Linked DNA regions of Diceros bicornis minor. The protein of the gene in region 2 purifies or fractionates together with the protein of the main gene of each other region. This does not show direct contact. Links are inferred from orthologs where the notes say so. Each region holds a gene or a part of one and is shown on either strand. Other genes may lie near its edges.

Region 1 (11,227 bases), on a different chromosome or scaffold from region 2:
ATGAAGAGGTAAAGGAGAGTTAAACAGTAATAGACAACAAAGTTTAATGAAGATGAAAATTGGCTCATAATAGAGACCCAATTGATGGGATTCTGTAATTTGCTGTATGTTGTCCTCTTTGTTCTATCTCTGGCCTTAGTTTACCCAAGATGTTCAGCCTATCGGAAGACAGAGAAATCAGATCAGAGAGAGCATAGATCAAATGGGGTACTCACTTTATTATTGGCTATACCTGCTCATAAGCATCATTGAGGGGCTGGCCCGGTGGCATAGTGGTTAAATCTGCTTTGGTGGCCTGGGGTTCACGGGTTTGGATCCCAGGTGTGGACCTACATACCACTCACCAAGCCATGCTATGGTGGTGTCCCATATACAAAGTGGAGGAAGATTGGCATAGATGTTAGCTCAGAGACAATCTTCCTCACCAAAAAAAAAAAAAAAAAAAGAAGCCTCATTGAATTTTGAAGTCAGGCCTGTCAGAAAGGAGCAGGGTGCCCTGCTAGTTCATAGTCCTTTTTAGGCAAAATTTTTTCATCAGCATATTCGGCAACACTACCTGTGAATCACCTCATTCCTCTCCCTATACACCCAAATGTCCTAGGGCATATGCATTAGTTTTCTATTGAAGACTGGGCAAACTTGACTGGATTCTTTGCTCAAGGTCTCACAAGGTAAAAGTCAAAATGTCCACTAAGCTGAGCTCTTATCCTGAGGATCTGGGAAGGAATCTGCTTCCAAGATCATTCAGGTTGCTGGTGGAATCAAGTTCCCTGCAGTTGTAGATCTGAGGTCCCTATTTCCTTGATGGCTGTTAGCCAGGGGTCACTCTCAGCTCCTCAAGGCTGCTCTCAGGCCCTTTCCATGTGGCCCCTTCCATCTTTAAAATGGCAATGGCCCATCAAATCCTCCCCCTGCTTTGAGTCTTTTTGACTTCTTCTGCCACCTGGAGAAAACTGTTTGCTTTTAAAAGTCTCTTGTGATTACCAGAGTAATCTCCCTATTTTAAGATAAATTGATTAGTAACCTTAATTACATCCGCAAAATCCCTTCAAAACAGTACCTAGATTAGTGTCTGACTGAATAACCAAGGATTGGGAATCTTGGGCAGCCCTCCTAAAATTCTGCCTACCACAGCATGGCTACAATCCCCTGAAAAGCTATCCCTTGAGGTCCTTAACACTTAAAGAATGTTGAGAAGCTATAGCCTCAGATTTCCCAGCCTCTTTCACAAGATGTTGGTATCCAAAAGCCTATATGTTCTTATACAAGGCAAGGGACTAAATCAGTCAAAATATTACTATCTGTCCTAGGGAATCCATCCTTCTGAAAAATTTCTATATAAACTACATAAAAAGCAAATACTAAAATCCCAACGGTAAGAATGCTACATTTGTTAACTATTCACACTGAGTTTATTTACCCAAATTTCTGTCTTTGTGGAGTTAATGATCTGTCTGGGAAAGTGGACCTGTAAATAACTAATTATAATTCAATGAGCTAAGTGTTATAATAGAGTTACATAAGGTTACACACTTCCTAGAATTGAAGACACCTTTGATTGTGGGATGTACCATCATATTTCAACATCTTTTGGGGTCATTAAGAATATCCTATCAAATGTATATATTTGAAAAAACTTGATGGACAATAGCATATATTTATCACTGGAATTACTTACTAACTTCTCTAAATCAAAGCGGGAGCCAAGCTTCTTATGAAGAGTCTAACTCTATTTGGATCCACTAACGATTCCTAAAGCGTGAATCTGTTATCAATTCTAGCTCTGAAAGTTCTCTGAACTTTTCTGAGAAATTAGTTAAATTCACACATCTGCAAGCAATGACAATTATGTTACTTTTCCATTACTTCTCTACCTGGTAGACGGCTAGTTTCTTTTTTTCTTTTTCTTTTTTTTTTTTTGAGGAAGATCAGCCCTAAGCTAACATCCATGCTAATCCTCCTCTTTTTGCTGAGGAAGACCGGCTCTGAGCTAACATCTATTGCCAATCCTCCTCCTTTCCCCCCTCCCCCCCAAAGCCCCAGTAGATAGTTGTATGTCGTAGTTGCACGTCCTTCTAGTTGCTGTATGTGGGACACGGCCTCAGCATGGCCATAGAAGCAGTGTGTCGGTGCGCGCCCGGGATCCGAACCCGGGCTGCCAGCAGTGGAGCACGCGCACTTAACTGCAAAGCCACGGGGCCGGCCCCGGCTAGTTTCTTTTAATACTGATTGTAAGACCTATCCTGATTTCAGAAGTTAAAATGTGAAAAAACTTGGGACTTCTTTTTGAAGACATGGTTTCTAAAGTGCTACTTGGAAATAAATGAGGAAGTGATTAATTTTGCCTGGGAGAGGAGATGACATTTGTGTTGGGTCTGGGAAGTTGACTAGGTTTTTCTCAAGGAAATAAGAGGCTAAAATGTATTTCACGCCAAAAGAAACCTCTATTATGGTTCTTATCTGAAGCTATCCTGTCAATATTGCTCCACTCCCCTGAGTCTGTATATTCCACGGTCATGAACCAATTCTATCTCCCAAAATGATCATTTAGCTCATTATTATGTCGTTTAACTTTTATTTATTTATTCATTTCATATTTACTAACATTATTCATACTTATACCTACTGACAAAATAGTATTTCTAGTAGCTCATTGTAAAAAACTTGGTAAATGCAAAGAAGCAAATAAACAAACAAATCCCACACAAATCCACTGTAATTCCACCACTGGAGAAACCACTGTTAATGTATTGGTGTATAGGCTTCAAGGCTTTTTTCTATTCATATGCACATCTATATCTATCTATATGTTTTTAAAGCAAAAATGGTATCATAATATGTTTATTAGTTCATAATTTGCTTTTTTTTCCACTTAACCATCATATTAGGAATATTGATCATTGTTTGCCTACCCAGCCTCCCATTGAAGGAAATAATGCCCAGCTCACAGTTTTCTATCCTTAATTGGCTGTATTTCCTGACCACAGCTAATTGAACTAAAGGATTGGCATCTGATCCAAGGGCAGCCCACTTGTGGGCATTCAGAAACATACACATGGGGTGAAGAGATGAGCTGGGCCAATCATATGCCACTGGGTTACGGGAATTGGGCAACTGAGATTATCCTCAAAGGAGCTGATGGTGTAAGGATGTCATGGCCCAAGGCCATGGCAAGCCAAATAGAAGCCAGAGTTGTGACGGAGCAGAAAATATTAGAATTGATGAAGCTGGTTGCCGAAGAGAGGAGGGTAAGAGCAGACCTGTGGAGAAGCAGATATACCCAGAGGGACAGAGCCCTGCCTTCAAGCTTCCGTTAGTCCTGTTTTTTCTTGCTCTAGTTCCAATCCATATATATCTTTATTAGAAATACCTCCCTTCCAGGCTTTTTTCCTCTAGAGGTAAAACAAGTGGGTCTCCATTCCTTGTAGCCAGGCAAGCCTGACCAGAACCACAAATCATCACTATTATGACTGTATAGCGTTCCATTGTGTGGAGGTGCCATCACTGATTTAAAAACCTAGTGGTGGGCTTTTAAGACATTTCCAATGTGCATCTTCATCACTAATTTTTGCACATTAAAAAATAATTTTGGGGGCTGGCCGGGTGGCGCAAGCGGTTAAGTGTGCACGCTCCGCTGCGGCTGCCCGGGGTTCGCCGGTTCAGATCCCAGGCGCACACCAAGGCACCACTTGTCAGGCCATGCTGTGGCGGTGTCCCATATAAAGTAGAGGAAGATGGGCATGGATGTTAGCCCAGGTCAGTCTTCCTCAGCAAAAAGAGGAGGATTGGCAGATGTTAGCTCAGGGCCAATCTTCCTCACACACACAAAAAATAATAATAATTTTGTTATGATATATTCTTTTAAAGAAGTGGAATTCTTTGAAAGATTGCTACATAAATGCTAAGTTGGACTTCAGAAAGATTGTATCAATTTACAGCCCAACCAGCAGTGCATGAGAGTGGTTGCTTTTTCAACCCTTTGCCAATAATATCAATTAAAACAAAACATTGCTACTCTGATAGGCAAGAAGTGGTAAGTGGCCAGTTATGATCTTAATGTTCATTTCTCTGAATCTTGTGTTTATTGACCAGGCACGTAGGCTTTGTCACTAGACAAACCTGGGTTTGAGTTCCAGCTCTGCCTCTTGCTGTGTGACCTCAGTTGAGTTAGTTCTCCATTTTCTCATCTGTAAATTGGAGATAATAACAGTTCTTACTCTGTAGGATTATTATGAGGCTCAGATGAGAAAATAAATACAAAACAGTCCAGTAACGCCTCAGTACATTTCAGTTATTATAGTTATGAAGTATGAATTAATTTGTGACCATCAGATAAAGCAATGTGAGCTATCTGAAACTCAATAGGATATTGATTTAAATACCTGTTAGAGGGCCGGCCCCGTGGCTTAGCAGTTAAGTGCTCGCGCTCCGGGCGCGCAGCGACGCACCGCTTCTCCGGCCATGGCCATGCTGAGGCCGAGTCCCACATACAGCAACTGGAAGGATGTGCAACTATGACGTACAACTATCTACTGGGGCTTTGGGGGAAAAATAAATAAATTAAAAAAATTATAAAAAAAAATACCTGTTAGAATTGTATGGTCCTAGGAATAAGAAAAAATGCAAGAGGCCAACAGGTTCATAATCTTTATCGTTAGAGAGAAAATACATTTACATGTTTGGATTCCATCCATTTACACAGGTCTTTAGAATTAAAATAAAAACACAATGTACATATCTTAAAAGCCAAGAAATATAAAATAAAATCAAAAGATAAACTGTGTAGGACTTGCAGATTTCTCAGAGTAGTTAGAGGATGAGGTAACGAGTTTTGAAGACCATGACATAATATAAAAAGGGGCTCAAAATGACAGTTGACGCAGTGAGAAGAATGGCTCTAAAAGTCTGTGCCTCCAGGACTTATGTCTGGTAGAAATGTCTGATCGAAAGTAATCTTAGTTAACTAGGTTGGAAACTGGCTTTCTTAGCAGCTCTGTGTCTTTCAACTCAGAGAAGCTTTAGAATTAAATACAGAAAGGCTTAATGGGGTAAAAACTGTGGGATTAATATGTTGGTGTTAAGAAGAAATATGTGCATATTTCACATTTCATGAACTTGCAATCTTTAAGAAATTTTGGCTTATTAGAGTGACAGCCTTATAATTCATTTTAAATGTATAATTGAGTTAGTTTTAGACTTAAGATTTTGAGTTGAAATCTTACTAAGTTTACACTTGGAACTGGGCTAAGAAAACTTTGGATTCATTATATTTGTACGTTTACTTGATTTATAAGGATTACTAAACTCTGAAAGGTTCTAGATTAGATAACTGAAGAAATTAAAAAGAAAATCTAAGATATTTTTATGGACATAATTTTAAATGTTTGAAGATGTTGGATTAACTAAGTTTGTGAATGGGACCAAAAATTATTCAAAGTTTCTGAAAAGTGGTAAAATATGCTAGACATAACTAGAATAAAATTTGTAAGCTGAACTTAAAAGCTTAAGAAAGAACTAACTTTTGAATTTGTTGTAAATTAAACCTTTGCCCATTTTTTAATGGGGGTGTTTTGTTCTTATGTTTTTAAGCAACTCACTTTAGTACTTTGAAGGAAGAGTGGATAAATTGAAAACAGCTAGAGCAAAAAGCCTGGAGTCAGGTTGTGAAGGGGCTTATTTGGCATGCTAAGGAACTTGGACCATAACCCGAAGGGAGTAATAGGAAAAAATATAAAAAGGAATAACACAACTGCGTTTGCACCTTAGAAAGAACATGCTGTTGACTGTGAGGAGCTAGTTGGCAGAACGGAGAATAGAGATAACGACAATCTGAACTGTGTAATCACAGTGGAGATAGAGACAAAAGCAAGACACTTCAGAAGCAATACCGATTGGATTTAGGGCACGAGGCAAGGAGACTGGCGTGTCCCGGCTGCGAACTGAGCACTTCTGTTAGTAGAGAATATAGCAGGAGCAGGGGCAGTTTCGACACGTTAAATTTGAAGTGTCTGCGGGATTCAGAGGTGAAAATGTCCATTACACAGCTGAAAATATTGAGTTAGGGCTTCTAGAGGGTCTGGTCTGGAGCTATATATATTTAGGGCTCTTCAGCAGTTCAAGGTGAGCACAGATCAAGTTACCAAGAGTGGGCAAAGAAGAGGACTGACCGAATTCTGCTGAATACCAACATTTTAGGGGCAGGCCACAAAGTGCAAGAGGAAGAGGCATCCCTAAAAGGGGCAAGGAATCCCCTAAAAAGAAGAACTTAACAGTGGCAGGAAATCCAAGGCAAGGAAGTTTGGACAAACACTGTTCTCCTGCTTTAGCACCCACTTCTCAAATACTTGGGGGGTGGAGGAGTCCAAATCTGGCGACTGCTGGCGAATCTAGGAGAGGACTGAAGCCAGACTGCCAGACTGTGAGGTCCCTTATGGCAGTTTGTGTCCTGCTTGTGTCCAGCAAGAACACGCTAGGGCACTTCAACAGACGCCTTCCTTGAGCTCTTTGGCGCAGAGGAATTTATATGGGCAGGCAGTGGAAGGGGAAGGCCCACGTTTTCTATTTCAAGCAACCGACACCGTTGGCCTTTTTGTCCGAGGCGCGGCCGGGGCGGCGGCCGGGGACGCAAAGGCTCCAGGGCAGGGGCGGACCTTCCCCACCAAGCGGAGCTCGTCGCACCTCGATTGGCAGCCGGGCTCCGCCTCCTTCCTTCCACCTCCCGGGACCGTGCGCGCGCAGGGCGGGGCCGGGCGGCTCTGCCCCGCCCCCTTCCGCCCGCTCCCGTCAGCGCGGCAGGGTGGGGCCGCTGGGGTGGGGCCTGCGGGTGGGGCGGTGGCGCGGGGCGGGGCCTCCGGGAGCAGGGCAGCCCGCGCACTCTGCAGCAGCTGCCGCCGCCGTCGCCCGCGCCTCCGAGGTCTCACCTCTTCCTCAGCAGACCCGGGCTCGGCCGCCATGTCCGCCGCGGACGAGGTTGACGGGCTGGGCGTGGCCCGGCCGCACTATGGCTGTAAGTGCGGGGCTCCGCGGCGCGGGGGTTTCGGGCCGGGCTCGCTGCCTCCGAGGTGCCCTTTCCCCGGGGAGTCGGCCAGCCGGGTGGGGCAGGGCGGCTGCGGGCCGCGCGGACCCGGAAGAGCCGGGCGGCGGGCGGCGGCGGGCTGGAGGGGTGGCGGGCGGCGAGGCCCCGGGCCCGCGCCCCCGGTCTCCGAGGCGGCGGGGAGGACCGGGCGCGGGGGCTGGAGGGCCCCACCCAGCGCCTCTCGCCTGCCGCTCGACCGAGATTGGGGAGCCGGCCCTGGGTGAGGTGGCAGGCGGACGCCGCAGGGCGTGTCCCGGGGCCGGGGAGCGGAGACGGGGCCTCTGCTCGGCCTCGTGGGAAGGTGCTGCCTGCGAGGTGGACCCGGCGTCCATACCTGCCCGGCCCCAGGCTAGCCGAGAGGTGTGGCCCTGGTCAAGTCACTTCAGCTTTCGTGGGCTTAGTTCCCTCGTCAGGATTTCAAAAAAAAAAAAAAAAACCCACCTCTGACTTCCTCATTTTCTGTTGCTGTCCCTAGGACATCATTGGATCAGGCGGCATAGTTACCAAAGGCGAGTCCTTTGGAGTCTTGAGGTTTTCAGTTTTATGTTCTGGGACTAATGTTCTGTTTTTAGGATAATTGCACTCAACAGTTATCTGTGAGGTCTTGTGTCACGTTTGTGAAATTAAACATGAGTAAGACTAGGCCCTGCCTTCAAAGAACGTTTTCATTAGAGAGACAAACAGGCGTACAACCTAATGCTAATAAGGTGTAGTGAAGATAAAAGATGCAGTGAACTAACTAGGCATAAACAGTACCCTGAGTGGGGGGAGGAGCGTGGGGAAGGCAGGAGGAACACAGGGAGTGACGTTCTGACGGAGCCTGTCTTCAAGGATGCTGTGTAAAGTTTGACAGGGCAGGGTGGGCCAGGAGACATGACGAAGAGAGAAGAGTATAAACTCTTCTAAGGCGTTGAAGAGTGGAAGGGTGCTGTGTGTGACAGGAACTGAGTGGTGTGGAGTGCACAGTGGTGGGAGGAAGAACAGGGAGAGGGAGGAGAGTTTCCAAAAATAGTTGGCGCTAAATTGGGAAAGGCCTTGAATGCCATCCCAAGGAGTTAGGAATTTATTCCATACGTTGGTGCTCATGAAGGAGGTTGATTGCAGAGGTTAAGCTCACAGGCTTTTGAGACACTGCCTGGGTTTGGATCCAGGCCCCATCATTTATTAGCTGTGGGGCTAAGATCACCCAGCCTCAGTTTTCTCATCTATAAAATGAGAGTGACAGTTACAGGCTAGTGAGGCTTCAATGAGAGAATGCATGTAAACTGCTTAGCCTTATTACTGCCACTTAGTTCTTAATGACTGCTGGCTTTGGTTGTTAATAAAAGAGGGAGATACCATGATCAGCTCTGTACTTAGAGCTAGTCTGGCAGATAGACGAGGACAAATTTGGGCCAAAATCTCAAGTCAGTATTTTTCAAGTTACACTGAATTTTAGTACATGTTCATATTACCATACTTTTTAAAAAAGGGTAAGATGAGTATAGTTGAAACCCCGTAATTCCTGTTTTAGGACAGTCATTGTTGTACACCTGGCTACCCACACATCCACAGGTTACCCTGAGTCTCTAGGTGACTAGCAGGAATTTGATGCTGTGGCATTCTTTTATCGCTTGGGAAGGTTACAGATTCTTATGTTTACATTCTTTCTTTCATGTTTTAGCTGTCCTGGATAATGAGAGACTCACGGCAGAGGAGATGGATGAAAGGAGACGTCAGAATGTGGCTTATGAGTACCTTTGTCATTTGGAAGAAGCAAAGAGGTAAAGATTGGCTGGCTGGAGAGAAGACTGGGAGAAGGGAGCTGATATGGTGTGAACACAGATAAAGATCTCTTTGAATGTGTTGTAGGTGTGACTGTGGGAGGCTGGTAGTTTGAAGGAATAAGTATAGTTAGGGTATTTATTCATGGGAGCAAGTAGCCTTGATAGCAGTTTATCGTGAAACATTGATGGGCACTTACATATACTGAAAAATTTCCAGATTTGTGTTGTTCAGTTTCATGCTTATGATGCGTGTTTTGGGCACTGCCAGTTGTAGGGAAGAAATAGCGTTTTTAGTGTTTGAAATTCTTGGCCTTTATGTTTCACTGGTTTCTCACTGGTTTTGATTTATATGAATTGGGTCCATTCTCCCCTGGGTAATGCTCTGGGTATAGGTCCTCTATTTGGCAATGTTAAAAGACGGTTTACCAAAGGCAGCATCCTCTGCATTCTTTGTGAAGTGAATGTACAGCTGCTGTTTTCTGATACTCCCAGACCTTGTGGTCTTATTGTTAGAGTGTCAATTTGCTATCAGTGGTTCATTTCTTTTGTTCTGGTGCTTGTGTTCCTTTGCAAGGTCCCAGGGTAGATAGATGTAATTACAGATCATTTATCCTATAAGTGAGCTTTGGTGGAAAAGGCCAGCAAGGGCTAATCAAGGGTATTGGTGATCAAAGTCTACTGAAAATCAAGGATGTTTCAAATGGTGCTAATAAACAAGAGTGTTTTGGTAATTCTGAAGATCTTAAAACGCTACAGGAAAGTCCAGAGAACAAAACAACAAACATCCATGTATTCCAGAACTAACAACTGTTAGCCCTTCAGATCTTTCCCTTTCCTCTTAAAAGACATGGAGTCCTTTTTGTGCCTCTCTCTGGTCCCAGTCTCCTCCTTCCCATCCTTGGGCCTACCACTAACATGCATTTGGTGTGTCTTCTTGATTCCAGGCTTCTTTTCTGAGCTTAAAGCCCTTCCATTAGACTGGGGAAGGGGGACTGGGATTAGTGATGATTTAGGTGGGGAGAATGATAATAACACTTGTTTTTGTAAATGGAAGGTTAGACAGCAGGAGGTGAATATGTTATTAGAAAAGGGGATGTTTCTCATACAAAGTTTGTAAGGCTCCCGTGTATAAAAATACTAAGTCCTCTGATACTTGCATTGTGGATTAGATCTAGTTTTGGAAGGTCATAGAATTTGAAAGCTGCAGCTGGTATGAGAGACTGTCCTGTGCTCTGTGAAGCCTTGATGTCCCTGTTGAGGTGACCTAGGGATGAGAGGGAAGAGGCCCAACTTGCCTTCCTTCCCCCATCTAATGCAGTTCTGCTTTTGTTTTAATATTGAGTTTCCATAGTAAAATTCCCTTTTTGCAGAGGATGTCTTGGCTAACACCCCCTTGCTGCCACTGATCTGATTCAACTGTCTCATTTCAGTGAGGAAACTGAGGCCTGAGTTCTCATAGTTTACTTGTAGTTTTTTTAATTGAAGAATATTTTCATCATTTTATTCAGCAGTTCTTAACCAGATGTGTGCATTAGAATCACCTGGGGAAACTTTAAGAAAAATACCGATATCTGGGCCTTACCACCGAGATTCTGGTTCGGTAGATCAGGGCTGGAAGGTCCAGATACCTGTATATTTTAAATGCTTCCAGTGGTTGTGATGCCACACACACACACAGCCACCCGCCCACCGGCCCCCCTGCCCAAGGGGAGAAACAAGATTTAAAGCATTTTTAGAACCCTGCCTTATGCTGGGTTATTCGAGCCTGAACAGAGTGGTGCTCTTCATCACATTTCCTTCTTCCAGTGCTGCACTAGCAAGGCTCTTCATTTCCATCTGCTCCAGAGCATATTCTTTTCTGTCAGATGTTTTTTTTTTTTTTTCTTTTTTCTTTTTCTTTTTCTTTGTGAGGAAGATCAGCCCTGAGCTAACATCCATGCTAATCCTCCTCTTTTTGCTGAGGAAGACCGGCCCTGAGCTAACATCTATTGCCAATCCTCCTCCTTTTTCTCCCCAAAGCCCCAGTAGATAGTTGCATGTCATAGCTGCACATCCTTCTAGTTGCTGTATGTGGGACGTGGCCCCAGCATGGCCAGAGAAGCAGTGCGTCGGTGCATGCCTGGGCTCCGAACCCGGGCCCCGAACCCGGGCCGCCAGTAGCATGCACTTAACCGCTAAGTCATGGGGCCGGCCCTGTCAGGTGTTTTTTCCAGAATAGAAAAGTATCCCATTTTCTTTAGAACCCATCCAGGGGGCCATGATCCCCTGGGGTGTTTTTGTTGGGTGCTTTTACATACTTAGGGAAGCGACTAAGGCAGCAAGACAGTTGTGATCATCTTTATTTTTTATGCTTTGGGTTATAAGAGAGGGCATAATAGTGGCATAT
Region 2 (11,223 bases):
CCCTCCTCACCCGCCCCTCCACACCCGGCTTCACGCCTCGGCCCTCCTCACCCTTCCCTCCACACCCGGCTTCACGCCTCGGCCCTCCTCACCCTTCCCTCCACACCCGCCTTCACGCCTCGCCCCTCCTCACCCGCCCCTCCACACCCGCCTTCACACCTCGGCCCTCCTCACCCTTCCCTCCACACCCGCCTTCACGCCTCGCCCCTCCTCACCCGCCCCTCCACACCCGCCTTCACACCTCGCCCCTCCTCACCCGCCCCTCCACACCTGCCTTCACACCTCGGCCCTCTTCACCCTTCCCTCCACACCCGCCTTCACACCTCGGCCCTCCTCACCCTTCCCTCCACACCCGCCTTCACACCTCGCTCCTCCTCACCCGCCCCTCCACACCCGCCTTCACACTCGCCCCTCCTCACCCGCCCTCCACACCCGCCTTCACACCTCGGCCCTCTTCACCCTTCCCTCCACACCCGCCTTCACACCTCGCCCCTCCACTCCTCGCCCCTCCTCACCCCTCCATGCCCCACCCCTTCATGCCGGGCCCCATCCAAGTGTCCCGCCTCCTGCCCCCGCCCTGGCGTTGTGGAATGCAGCATCTGCTGCCATGATGATGCCAGGCCGTGTTGACTTCGCTCGTCTCCCTAGTGTTGCAGGTGTTTCGCTTTTATTCCATGTGGAGCGGCTACGGAGACTTGTTACAGTGCTCGTTTTATTTAATGCAAGTACAAGCGATCAGTTGGTTTATGAGTTTCCAAGTCTGTGGCCTTAAAAAATAAAACAGGAAAAGGGTTGGATAAGATTAATTTGAATTTCCCTGGAAGTGATTTTTAGTATTTATAACTTGTGTATTTGAATTATTTGAAATGATTTATTTGAATTCGTGGGTACAAAAGCACAAGTTCAGGTTTCCACTGACGCTGACTTCACCAATAGCGGGGAGCAGACCCTGACTGAGCACAAACAAGTGAAGCACGACATCCACGGACAGACCAGGCGCTTCATTAGGAACCCATCATTTTACAGACAGAGGAGGCCAGGGAGACGAAATTACTTGCAGTACACTGATCTCCAGAGTGTCAGAGCTGAAACTCTGGTCCTGAGCCCGGGCGTGCTCCTTCTGCTGCACACAGGTCCCACGGATCCAGCAAACTGTGATCTTATCCGAAGAATTACACTGAATGTAGAATTTTGATTCTCAGTTCTGCTTAGAGTTAAAATATCAGTATTTGTTGGTTTATGAGACATATTTTTCCATTTAGAACTGTTAGCATTAAATATTTACTCGGTAATCACAGCTCACTGTAGGCAAAGGGATCTAAACGTGACCATGCTGTATAGGTAGGTGGGGCAGCACTGTCAGATCACCTAACTACTGTGGGTTTCATCTACACTGATGATGAACAGATTTGAGGCAGGGCAGCCTTTTCAAAGGGCGGTGGACAAAGCTTTGTATTTTTAAATGTAGTGGAGACAAGGAAACTACAAATGTCCGGGGTCATTTTTGGTGGTTTGTTTTTTCTGGGTTAGGATTCTACACAGCCACAGCAGCCAGTAGAGCACATGCTTTATGACTGAGAATTGACTTTCCTAAATGATTATTACCAAGAGTCCCAGGGACCAGCCAGCTAACACATATGCCTAATATAGCAGAAATAATGATGGGGGCCATTAAAAACAGCCCTTGGAAAGAGATTTTCAATTTTTCATTCACAAAGCAAATCAAGCTTCCTAATTAGCTACAACGCGCTGGAAAGCTCGGCTCCTACTAGCCTGCAAGCCCTTGCTCTCTGCTTCCTTTAGTGACCTTCATCTCTGTTACAGGAACAGCTTGGCTGCTTTCTTTAGTTCACTGGTGTTCAAAGAACTCGTGGCAGGCAGTGGTAACCATGGCGACGAAGGCCATAAATTCCTGGAAGTCACATTCACCATCTCCATCGTTGTCCAATGTTTCCATGACTTTGTCGACAACCTCCTGCTCTTTGATTTCCTGAGAGATAAGAGAAATTGCCCAGCTTATTTTTAAAGGAAATTTAAGGACATCAAAACATGATTAAAAGTTGGCTGGCTTTCATAATTTGTATCAGAAACAATCCAAGATGTACAATACAAAATGCCAGAAAAGATTTCTCCTGTGACCAGGGACTGTTGGCCAGGCAGAACCCTCTGGGGGTCTGGGCTATTTAAAAAGACTGTATGGAACAACCAAGACCTGAAAAACTGCAGGTTGTTATCACTGTACTTTAAACAAAACACCTGGAAAAGAAGACTACAGTCTAGATCCGCATGGGCATATTATATGAAAATGTCTTGAAAGAAAAAATGAACTTTTGGCCCCCCTAAGGTTTTCATTGTTTCTGTGTGTGGAAGTTCCTATAGTGAAGGCTTCCAGTGGATTTTCATGTTTTGAAAGTGTTTTTTGGCTGAAATAACTCTTGGGAACATGTCCTAAATTTGTTAACTCCTTGTGTTCTTTTTGCCTGTTGAGTTACCTTATAGGGCATGGAACTTTTCCTGACAGTTCTCTTGTCCAACAGTGAAGCCAAGAGAATGGTGTCACAAAGGCTCAGAGGAGCAAACACAGTGCAGGGCTACAAATGTGGTGGAAAGAATGTGGCACTGAACACTGAAGAAGAGCATAAATGCGGATTGCTCAGAATAACTAATCCCTAGGGCAGGAGATCTTGGCCCAAAGAAGTCAAGTAAAATGTACAATTGCTGCCTTGAGTATAAAACATATGAAAGATTGAGATTCCAGTGGGGGTTGCGCTGGGCCCTATAAACATCTGCTGAACGGTGGTTGGGAGCAGTGCATTAATTTCAATACATTATAGATTTGCCTCCAAACCGAAATTACCTTGATAAAATGAGGCCAACAAATGTTCATGATATCTTGATACACTGACCATGAATTCTTTCTCTTTTATAAATTGTGGTTCCCACATGCTAAGCTTTTTTTATGTTTTAAAGTCAATAGTTAATAATAGTAGCTACTACTTGTTATGCTTTCACTATATGTTAAGCATTTAACAAACACTGTCTTGTTTCATCCTTACAACAATCCTTTTTACAGAAGAAACTGGAACTTTTTTTTTGATGAGGAAGATTCTCCCTGAGCTAACATCTGTGCCAATCTTCCTCTGTTTTGTATATGGGACAACGCCACAGCATGGTTTGATGAGTGGTGTGTAGGTCCACGACTGGGATCCAGGCCCTCGAACCCCAGGCCGCCAAAGTGGAGTGTGCAAACTTAACCACTATGCCACCAGGCCGGCCCCAGAAACTGGAACTTTTTGGTTGTTAAGTGGAAGGCAGAATTGTTGGGACTAGATAACTGAATGTGTGAGTGGGGCAGCTGCCACTCTGAACTTGGATGCCTGAGAAAACCAGTCCCAGAATCAAACTAGAGGACACCAACCCCTTTCAAGCCTCCAGGCTGCTTCCTCTGCTCTGGCAGTGCCATTGACAGCAACGGAGTGTTTGGGTGGGAGTAGGGACAGGAGAACCCCAGCCAGCCTTGCAGACGACGGGTGCTGCCTTGCTGCTGGAACCTGGGGCTTGTCCTGTGCAGAGAGGCTCGGCTAGGTCAGGAGGGCGGCTCCCCATCACTGTGCAGCAGGGCCCTGCCTGGTGCTCTGGTATCTTCCCCAGAAGTAGCTCTTGGTCAGACACTAGTGCACTGGTTCATTGTCTGGCCATTTCCCCTGTGTGTGATTGGTCCCTTCAATGACCTTGGTTCTGGGCACTAAGGGAAGGTCAGGTGCCAGGTGGACTGCAGTTCTTTGCCTCAAAGGCACAAGACTGGTATGCAGTAGGGATGCTGGGTGGCTGATCTGAGGGCAGTGGAGACGGTGGGTAGGGAAGTGAGTCCTCCATGAGGTGTCTGGACGTACTCCCACCACAGGCCAGAGCAGGAACTGCCTGGAGAGTGACAGGGCTCATCGGGGGCCCTCATGCAGCTTCCTAAGTTAGGGTCTCAAACTGAAGACGACTCTTCTCCAACGTCCTCACTCCAGGGAGCCCCCTGCAAGGCCTCAGGGCCCCCAAAGGATGCAGGGGCCTCTCTCGTGCCCTCAGGCAAGTAGGTTGTGGCCCTTCACTGATGTGCCTGGCTGGGTGCCCCAGAAGCAGAGGCCGTGGCTTCAGGCCTGTGTCTCTCCCAGTATTGAACATAGTGAGTGCTCAGTAAACTTTGGCTGAGTGAATGGCATCTTCTATCAGCATGGTGCATGCTAAACATCTAGCCAAAATGGTCCTTTTCCCAAAAACAAAAGCTTATTTATAACAACTTGCTTATATGTTCACTATGGCCCTTGATAAGTCATGAAAATATATTTTCCATCCCATTCTGCCATCATTATTGCTGTAAATCCTCAGATTTCTTTTTTCAGAGAAAAGTCAGCATTATTTGGAACTTTTGAGACAGCAGTTTTTCCTTGATGCTTCTACTATACACAAAACAGATGAAAATGAAAACAGTGGGGCCCATCTAAGCTAGTCTCCATAATGAGGGTTCAGTTGTGAAAACAACTTTTCAGAAGAAACCTAGTAGTCCTGAAATGGAACTGGAATCACCTCAGGGCAGCTCAGAAGAGAAAGTGTACAGGTGGTTTTATAAGTGGAGAGGAGAATGGCTAGACTGTTGATTTTAAAAAGCAAGGCTCACCTCTAAAAAATGGGAAAGCTCATTGTTGATGAGCTCCTTGAGTTCAGATTTCTTCAGCTTGTGCTTGTCGCCCTCCCTTCCGGAATATTGATGGAAAACATCAATGAGGGCCACCATGGCCTTCTCCAGCTCAGACATCCTAGGGGGCCACAAAGGAAAAATGTCTTCTCATGCTTCTGCCTTGTTTGTATATAGAACAGTTAAAGTGTTATCTAAACAGACCTCAACCCAGAGGAGGGGGCTAGACCGGCCTTGGCTCATCTTCTTTCAGGCTTAGAGAAGGGCACTCTGGGAGCTTGCACAGTTGTCACAATTCTCCCGTCTGCCTCTTAGACCCACTCTCCCACCCTCTCCTCTCTTCTCTGTCCCTGTGGGCCCCACTGATAAGTTCCCATGCCCTCTGGCTTCCAGTTGGGTTTGGCCAATGGGAAACTTCAGGAAAAATACAGAGGCAGAACAGTGAGGGAGTTCAGGGCTAGAGTCCTCCTTCTTCCCCAGTTGGCGACCTTCTGCCCTTGCAGGGCTCCAAGACGAGTGACAGAGCGTGGTTGAGCAAAGCGTCGACTGCAAGCCGTTAGAATTAATGAGAAAGAAGGTGACTAGGAGCCAAACGAGAATACAAAAATCAATAGTGTTCCTGTATTCTATCAGTAAACAACTAGAAAACATAGTAGAAAAATCCTATTCATATAGCAACACACATATCACTTAAGAATAAGTTTAGCAAGAAAAGTGCAGGTCCTTCAAAAAGATTCTAAGGATCATAAAATGTAGGAACTTGCTTTCCTTTGAATTAATACATAAATTTAGCTCATTTTTAATAAAAATATTTATGGGATTTTTTTTGATGGGTGAGGAACATGACCACAAAGCAGCTGTAAAATTCAGCTGGAAAAATAAATACAGCAGAATTGCCACACATGTTTTTGAAAAAGAAGATCAATGAAAGGTACCTTGACCTACTGGAAACAAAAATGTGTCATCAGGTGATGGGATCAAGCTGGTTCTGGGGCAGACTAGGCAAACGCGGCAGGAAGATGAGCCACAGGCGGGTGTTTAGCATTCACGCAAGAGCTGCCTCTGGTGCGCAAGGGGAGTGTCGCCTGTTCACTGATGTGGCCGCACAAATGCTGGAATAAGTGTTTCTTTGCAGTTGCCAACGTAAGAAACTTCCTACTTCCCTCACAGCATGTATCTTATACCACAGCCTGCAAACTGAGGAAATATCTGTTTAATCCTGGGAATTAGGCACATCTTAGACAGGATGGCTTGTCAGTTATCTCTTAAAACTGAGATACTCAGCCAGAGAAATTTACCAACTTTTGGCCTTGAGTTCTAATCATTAAAGAATCTTTGCACTGCCGTAGTTAAAAATAATAAAAAAAATTACATCTGATTGTTGAAAAATCATTCCCATGTTGAATATGTCACATCTTAAAAATAAACTGGAATAAAATATTTAAAATTTTACTTATTTCTGATTTCCTAAGGGAAAAAGGATTGAGAATGTTTGTCTTGGCCTGATCGTTGCTAAATTTACTCTATTAGTAATCAGTATTGCTCTCAAGTCCCTAAAAATCAGATGTATCACTTGTAGATACAACAATTCAGATGGATTAAAATCTTTAATAGGTCATACCTTCTTATCCTTTGCACTCAAGTTTTCAATTATTGATTTTTTTGTTTTTAAGTAACAAAACAAAAAACCCGAGAAACTTTTGTATCATCCTGATGCTTCTCAAAGTCTGTGATGATTTGGGGAAGGGGAGGTTAAACTAATTTTTCATGAAGAATGCCTACTGGGATTTTTTTAAAGGCAAGGCATAAAACATATAGTCTATATGTTCGAAAACTCCATAAAATGTGATTTTCTTCATAACCACACTACAAGTTAATTAGGAAAATTTTTTCCTATTAGATTCTCCCTTTTGAGAAACAATTGATGGTTTAAAGCTTATCTTTTAAGAAAAATATAAATCAAATATCCATGTTTCCTTTTCACTTCATTCTGTGAATATTCTGCATTAATCTTTTTATATGAAAAACAAGAGAACTTTTGGGCTTTAACTCCTTAGAGGGACACATCACACATGATGTGAGGGTCCCCTCTAAGGAAAGGGTCCTACTTCCCTGAGAAATTGTAAGACTAAGGAAAGTTAAACTCACCATAAACCCCAATTTCTTTGACCCATTTTGTAATTTACTTTTAAATAGTAAATTTACTTGTAAATTTACCTGTACAGTTGTCATGTAATTTCTGAGCGGTGTCCAGGGGGACCCTGACATTTCCCATTGAGGGAAACTGGAAAACCGAGAAGCAGGTATATACCAAGGGCTGGGGCAGAAGCCACGAGAAGAGAAAACATTGCTTTATGTTGCTTTATGAGATAGGGCTAAACTAGCGTCAGGTTGCCCGTCATTCTCAGCCCCTGGGAGAAGCAAAAACCCTGCTCTTCAAGGGGCAAAGATTGCAAAATATTTCTAAGAAGCACTATTTGTAGTACTTCTGGAGAAATGTCAGCAGTCACCTCTGAGCCACCAGACCTGAGGTTTCTCCGATTTATAGGAATAAAAACATAGGCAAATGAATCTCTAGCTACCTAGAGTTGAGGTGATCATGCCCACAAAACAGTAATAAGATCCACACTTTTGAAACGCTGCCATTTACCCTAAGGGGACTTTTTAAACTACTGCCCCATTCCCAACCCCACCCTCTTGATCCCCTGCCCCCAAAAGAAAAGAATAGGTTTTCCTGAGTGTCCTCACGTCAGTGGCTGTTGGTTGCTGCTCCTCGTCACCTCTGGCTGCAGAGTCTGGAGTGGCAAGAGTGATGGGCAGAGGCAGCCTCTTATTCCTTGCTCCCTGGGCGGTTGGGGCGTAGGCCGGTGCAGTCCCACTGCAGGCCGAGGCAGCCAATGGAGGCCGAGGGTGGGGGTGGGGGCGGCTGGGGCGGCCAGGCCTGCACACAGGGCTGCATTGACCAACTGCCACGGCCACCCAGGGACTCGCTGGAGAGCCGGGACTGCACATGGGGCAGGAAGTGGGGAGTCAGCTTTTTGTGCCATTTTTAAATTTATACACGAATATTGATGTTCCTCTAAAGGCAAGGTTGGAGGTGGGGAGAGGAGAGAGACGGATTAATTGATTCAGACAAAGCAAATGTGCGGCCAAGAACATGAAGCTTCCAAGTACAGGATGAACGCAGAGGATTAAACTCTGAATACAGAGTTTCCAATGGAGAAGCCCTGAGCTTCTCTCCCCTGGTCTGGCCCCCACCCTCGGACGGGTCGCCCTGCGGACATCAGTACTCTGAGCTAAGCAGGGTTGCCTTGAGAAGCCGCTGACCCCAACATCTGCAGGAACTGAAATGTGTGGCAAAGTAGGAACTTGATGCTTTTAGGGAAAAATCCTTATTTAATATGATTGAGGCACGTGCCAGGTGCACCCCAAGGCCTCCTTCACCCCAGGGTGAACAGTCACAGACTGTCAGACCTAGACAGTGCCCCAGACATGTCCTGTCCAAATGCTGTGTGTTATAGACAGGTACAGGCGGTGAGCCCCTCTCTGAGGCCCCACAACCAGCCACAGGAAAGCCAAGTACAGACTTCCCACCCCCCGTCTTCAGTGGTACCCTACCCAAGCTATTTCCAAGCAGAAACTCAAATGGTAGGCATTCCTCTAGACTCATTATACAAAAAGCATTTGCCCCAAACTCATCAAAGGACGTCTAAACCAGAATCAGGGCCCTTGTGCTGACTCAGGTCACAGTGGCCACGGAACGATCAAAACACAAAGATGTCTGTGGATACAGTTGTTTTGTCGTCATCTGTTTTACCAGGAAATTCATGACTGTTCAACACCCAGAAATGTCCCCTGGAAATAGCATGGGGCTGTGAGCCTCGGGGCTTGAGTCGTCCTCACCTGGACCCCGAGCCTGTCCCCACACCCCCGTGAGTGGGACCTGAGCGATGTGGTTTGGCTGTATTTCCTCAGCTGCCCCAAGGCTGTGGTCTCGTGAAGGGTCAGACACCTGCTTGCTCTGTGAAGTGCAGAACTTCCCACATCTGAGGAAGGAGCAACCGTGTGCTGGGTGCCCAGGCACTGTGTCTGAGGGAGCGCTGCTCCTGCGCACCCTAACCACTCCCCTGCGCGGCAACCTGGGCTCTGGGTTTGCCCTTCAGGGTTCACAAAAAAGCTTCAGCCTGCTCACGCAGTTTGGAATCCACTCATCTGACCACTGGATGCCTGAGCATGGGGCCTGCCATCTGGACACAAACCTCACAGCCTCCTGGGACAGCCAAGAGTGGTGTCCTGTGCCCACCCTGTTCCAGCTTCTGTGGGAGCAGGCGGGAGAGGACGTTCTTCAGAGAAGTGAGAGAGTGGTGTCAGGGCTCACAGGCTGCGAGAGAAACAGCCCATCTGGAGGAGAGGGGCTTTCACGTGCTGTGGGGCCCCCAGGGTGGCATCCTCCCCCACTCCCCAGGAGCTCACAGACACAAGTTCTTCATGTAACTTTAGAAGAACATGGGAAAGACATCTGTGACCTCACCAAGTTTCCACAGACTCACAACTCGAGGCTGAGTTTCAGCGCCATCACTTGACAAAAGTGTGACTTGGGACAAATTAGAACTGTTCTGCGAGGGGGGTGATCAGAGCCCTCACCTCACAGGGTTGTCTGGGGCCAGAAGTCCTTCCTTGACCTTCACACTTCCAGAGGACCCTGCTTCCCTTTCCTGACACCCTAGTTTTGAGTCTCATCTCATTAGACTAGAACCCCTGGTCTAGTCATGTGTGACTTGCACATTCACTGCCTCCCCTCAACTGTTTTCCACAGGAGGGCCCTGTACTAAAGCACCTAGAAATACGTTATTGAGTGGGACACCCGTGAAGCTCTTTGCTTGTGGTCTGCCTATGACCATATGGGATGCCGTCATTGAAATAGTCTCCCCTGTTTCAGTGGGGATGGTGGGATTTCAGAGTAGCAGAGCTGAATGACCTCACTCAACCATCAGATAGGGTGGGTGTGTCTGCTGTAAAGGGGAGAGGGACAGACCAGTAATCAGAATGCCTTGGTCCCCAGAGCTCTTTGGCAGTGGCTTACTGATCACAGTGTCCCTAGCAATGAGACAGATGGACGGCCTACTTGAGTAGTCCTTAACCCACACAACAGGAAAACTCTAGGTCTGGTAGCCAAAGCCTGACTTGAATCACCACAGTGGAGAATCACAGCCTCTCTCCAAGTTGCCAGACCGAAGTCGGGTTGGACCAGAGCCTCTTGGTTGAAGGAGAGGCAGGTCCCCTTGAGAGAGACCCTGCACTACTGCCAGTGTACGTGTGTGAGTGTTCTCCACACCTTCCCCACCTGCACTGCAGACACTTACTAATGCGACCGTGTAGTAGGGAGAAGGAAATACCCAGATCTCTTCAGGGATTATTAGATAGGCTCTGCATTGATGCTCTGCATTGATGCTAATTCCTGGGGCCACAAAATGGACCTGTGGCCCACTGGTCAAAGTAGGGATTTCAGGTGACAGTCTTAACTCTACCAACTCACAGTGGGCCCAGGTCATGCACAGATTTTCTCTGCAGGTATTTCTTCAGCTCCTGAATGTATAATCAAAACAGACATACTTGGTCACTAGCAGAATCCCCTTGCTGGCTCTCTTACATAACGAGGTGAGGCTCATTATGATAGGAAAAGCTAGGTGAACATCCCTAGAAATTTTCTTCTTATCATGACAGTGATAAGTAAACCAGAAGCAATACTGTAGCTCTTGGGAGAATTTCAGAGATCAATGCCACCATCAAAGAGCTGACATAAGCAGGGGTGGTGATACTTATCACAAGCCCATTTAACTTGCCAATTTGGCCCGTGCAGAAGTCCGGTGGATTGTGGAGAATGACTGTGGACTGTCATAGATATATCAGCTGGTGACTTAAATTGCAGTGGCTGTGCCGGATGAGGTATCGCCACTGGAGAAAATCAACATAGCCCCTGGCACTTGGTACACAGCTACTGATCTGACTAATACCGTTTTCTCCAAACCAATTTTCAAAGACCACCAGAAGCACTTTTTTACCTGGCAGGGCCAAAGGCATACCCTCATAGTGTCCCCTCAGGCACATGTCAGGTCTCCTGCTCCTCGCCATAATATTCTCTGCAGACGTCTTGATCATCTGGGCAGTCCACAGAGCAGCACATTGGTCACTCTACTGATGACAGTGTGCTGATTGGGTGTGATGAGAAGGAAGTGGCAAGTACTACAGATGCCTTAGTCAGCCACATGCAAACTAGCGAGTGGGAGATAAGCTCCACAATTTTGAGGCCCACCACCACAGTGAGGTTTCCGGGAGTTCAGTGGTCTGGAACATGTTGAAATGTCCCCTTCAAGTGAGAGACAAAGTGCTGCACCTTGTACCACCTGCCAGGAAAAGAAGCACAGCATTTAGTCAGAGTTTGGGGATTTTAGATACGAATGTGCTACACTTGCCTGTGCTACTTCAACCTGTGAGGCTGGCAGCGTCAAGTGGGGACCAGAGCAGGTTTAGGCTGCAGT

Evidence for each region.
Region 1: the proteins of S100B (region 2) and IQGAP1 purify together in Homo sapiens (co-immunoprecipitation; 3 studies listed by BioGRID and IntAct, with this or other methods). This does not show direct contact. The link is inferred for Diceros bicornis minor from reciprocal best matches to the Homo sapiens genes S100B and IQGAP1.

What each region holds. Positions count from the first base shown.
Region 1 is NC_080744.1:94,455,218-94,466,444, reverse strand, and holds the start of IQGAP1 (ras GTPase-activating-like protein IQGAP1), read left to right. Parts: upstream 1-6,893; 5' UTR 6,894-6,951; coding exon 6,952-7,006; intron 7,007-8,738; coding exon 8,739-8,838; intron 8,839-11,227. UniProt on the Homo sapiens protein: Plays a crucial role in regulating the dynamics and assembly of the actin cytoskeleton.
Region 2 is NC_080766.1:45,976,374-45,987,596, forward strand, and holds S100B (protein S100-B), read right to left. Parts: upstream 4,805-11,223; coding exon 4,667-4,804; intron 1,991-4,666; coding exon 1,850-1,990; downstream 1-1,849. UniProt on the Homo sapiens protein: Small zinc- and- and calcium-binding protein that is highly expressed in astrocytes and constitutes one of the most abundant soluble proteins in brain.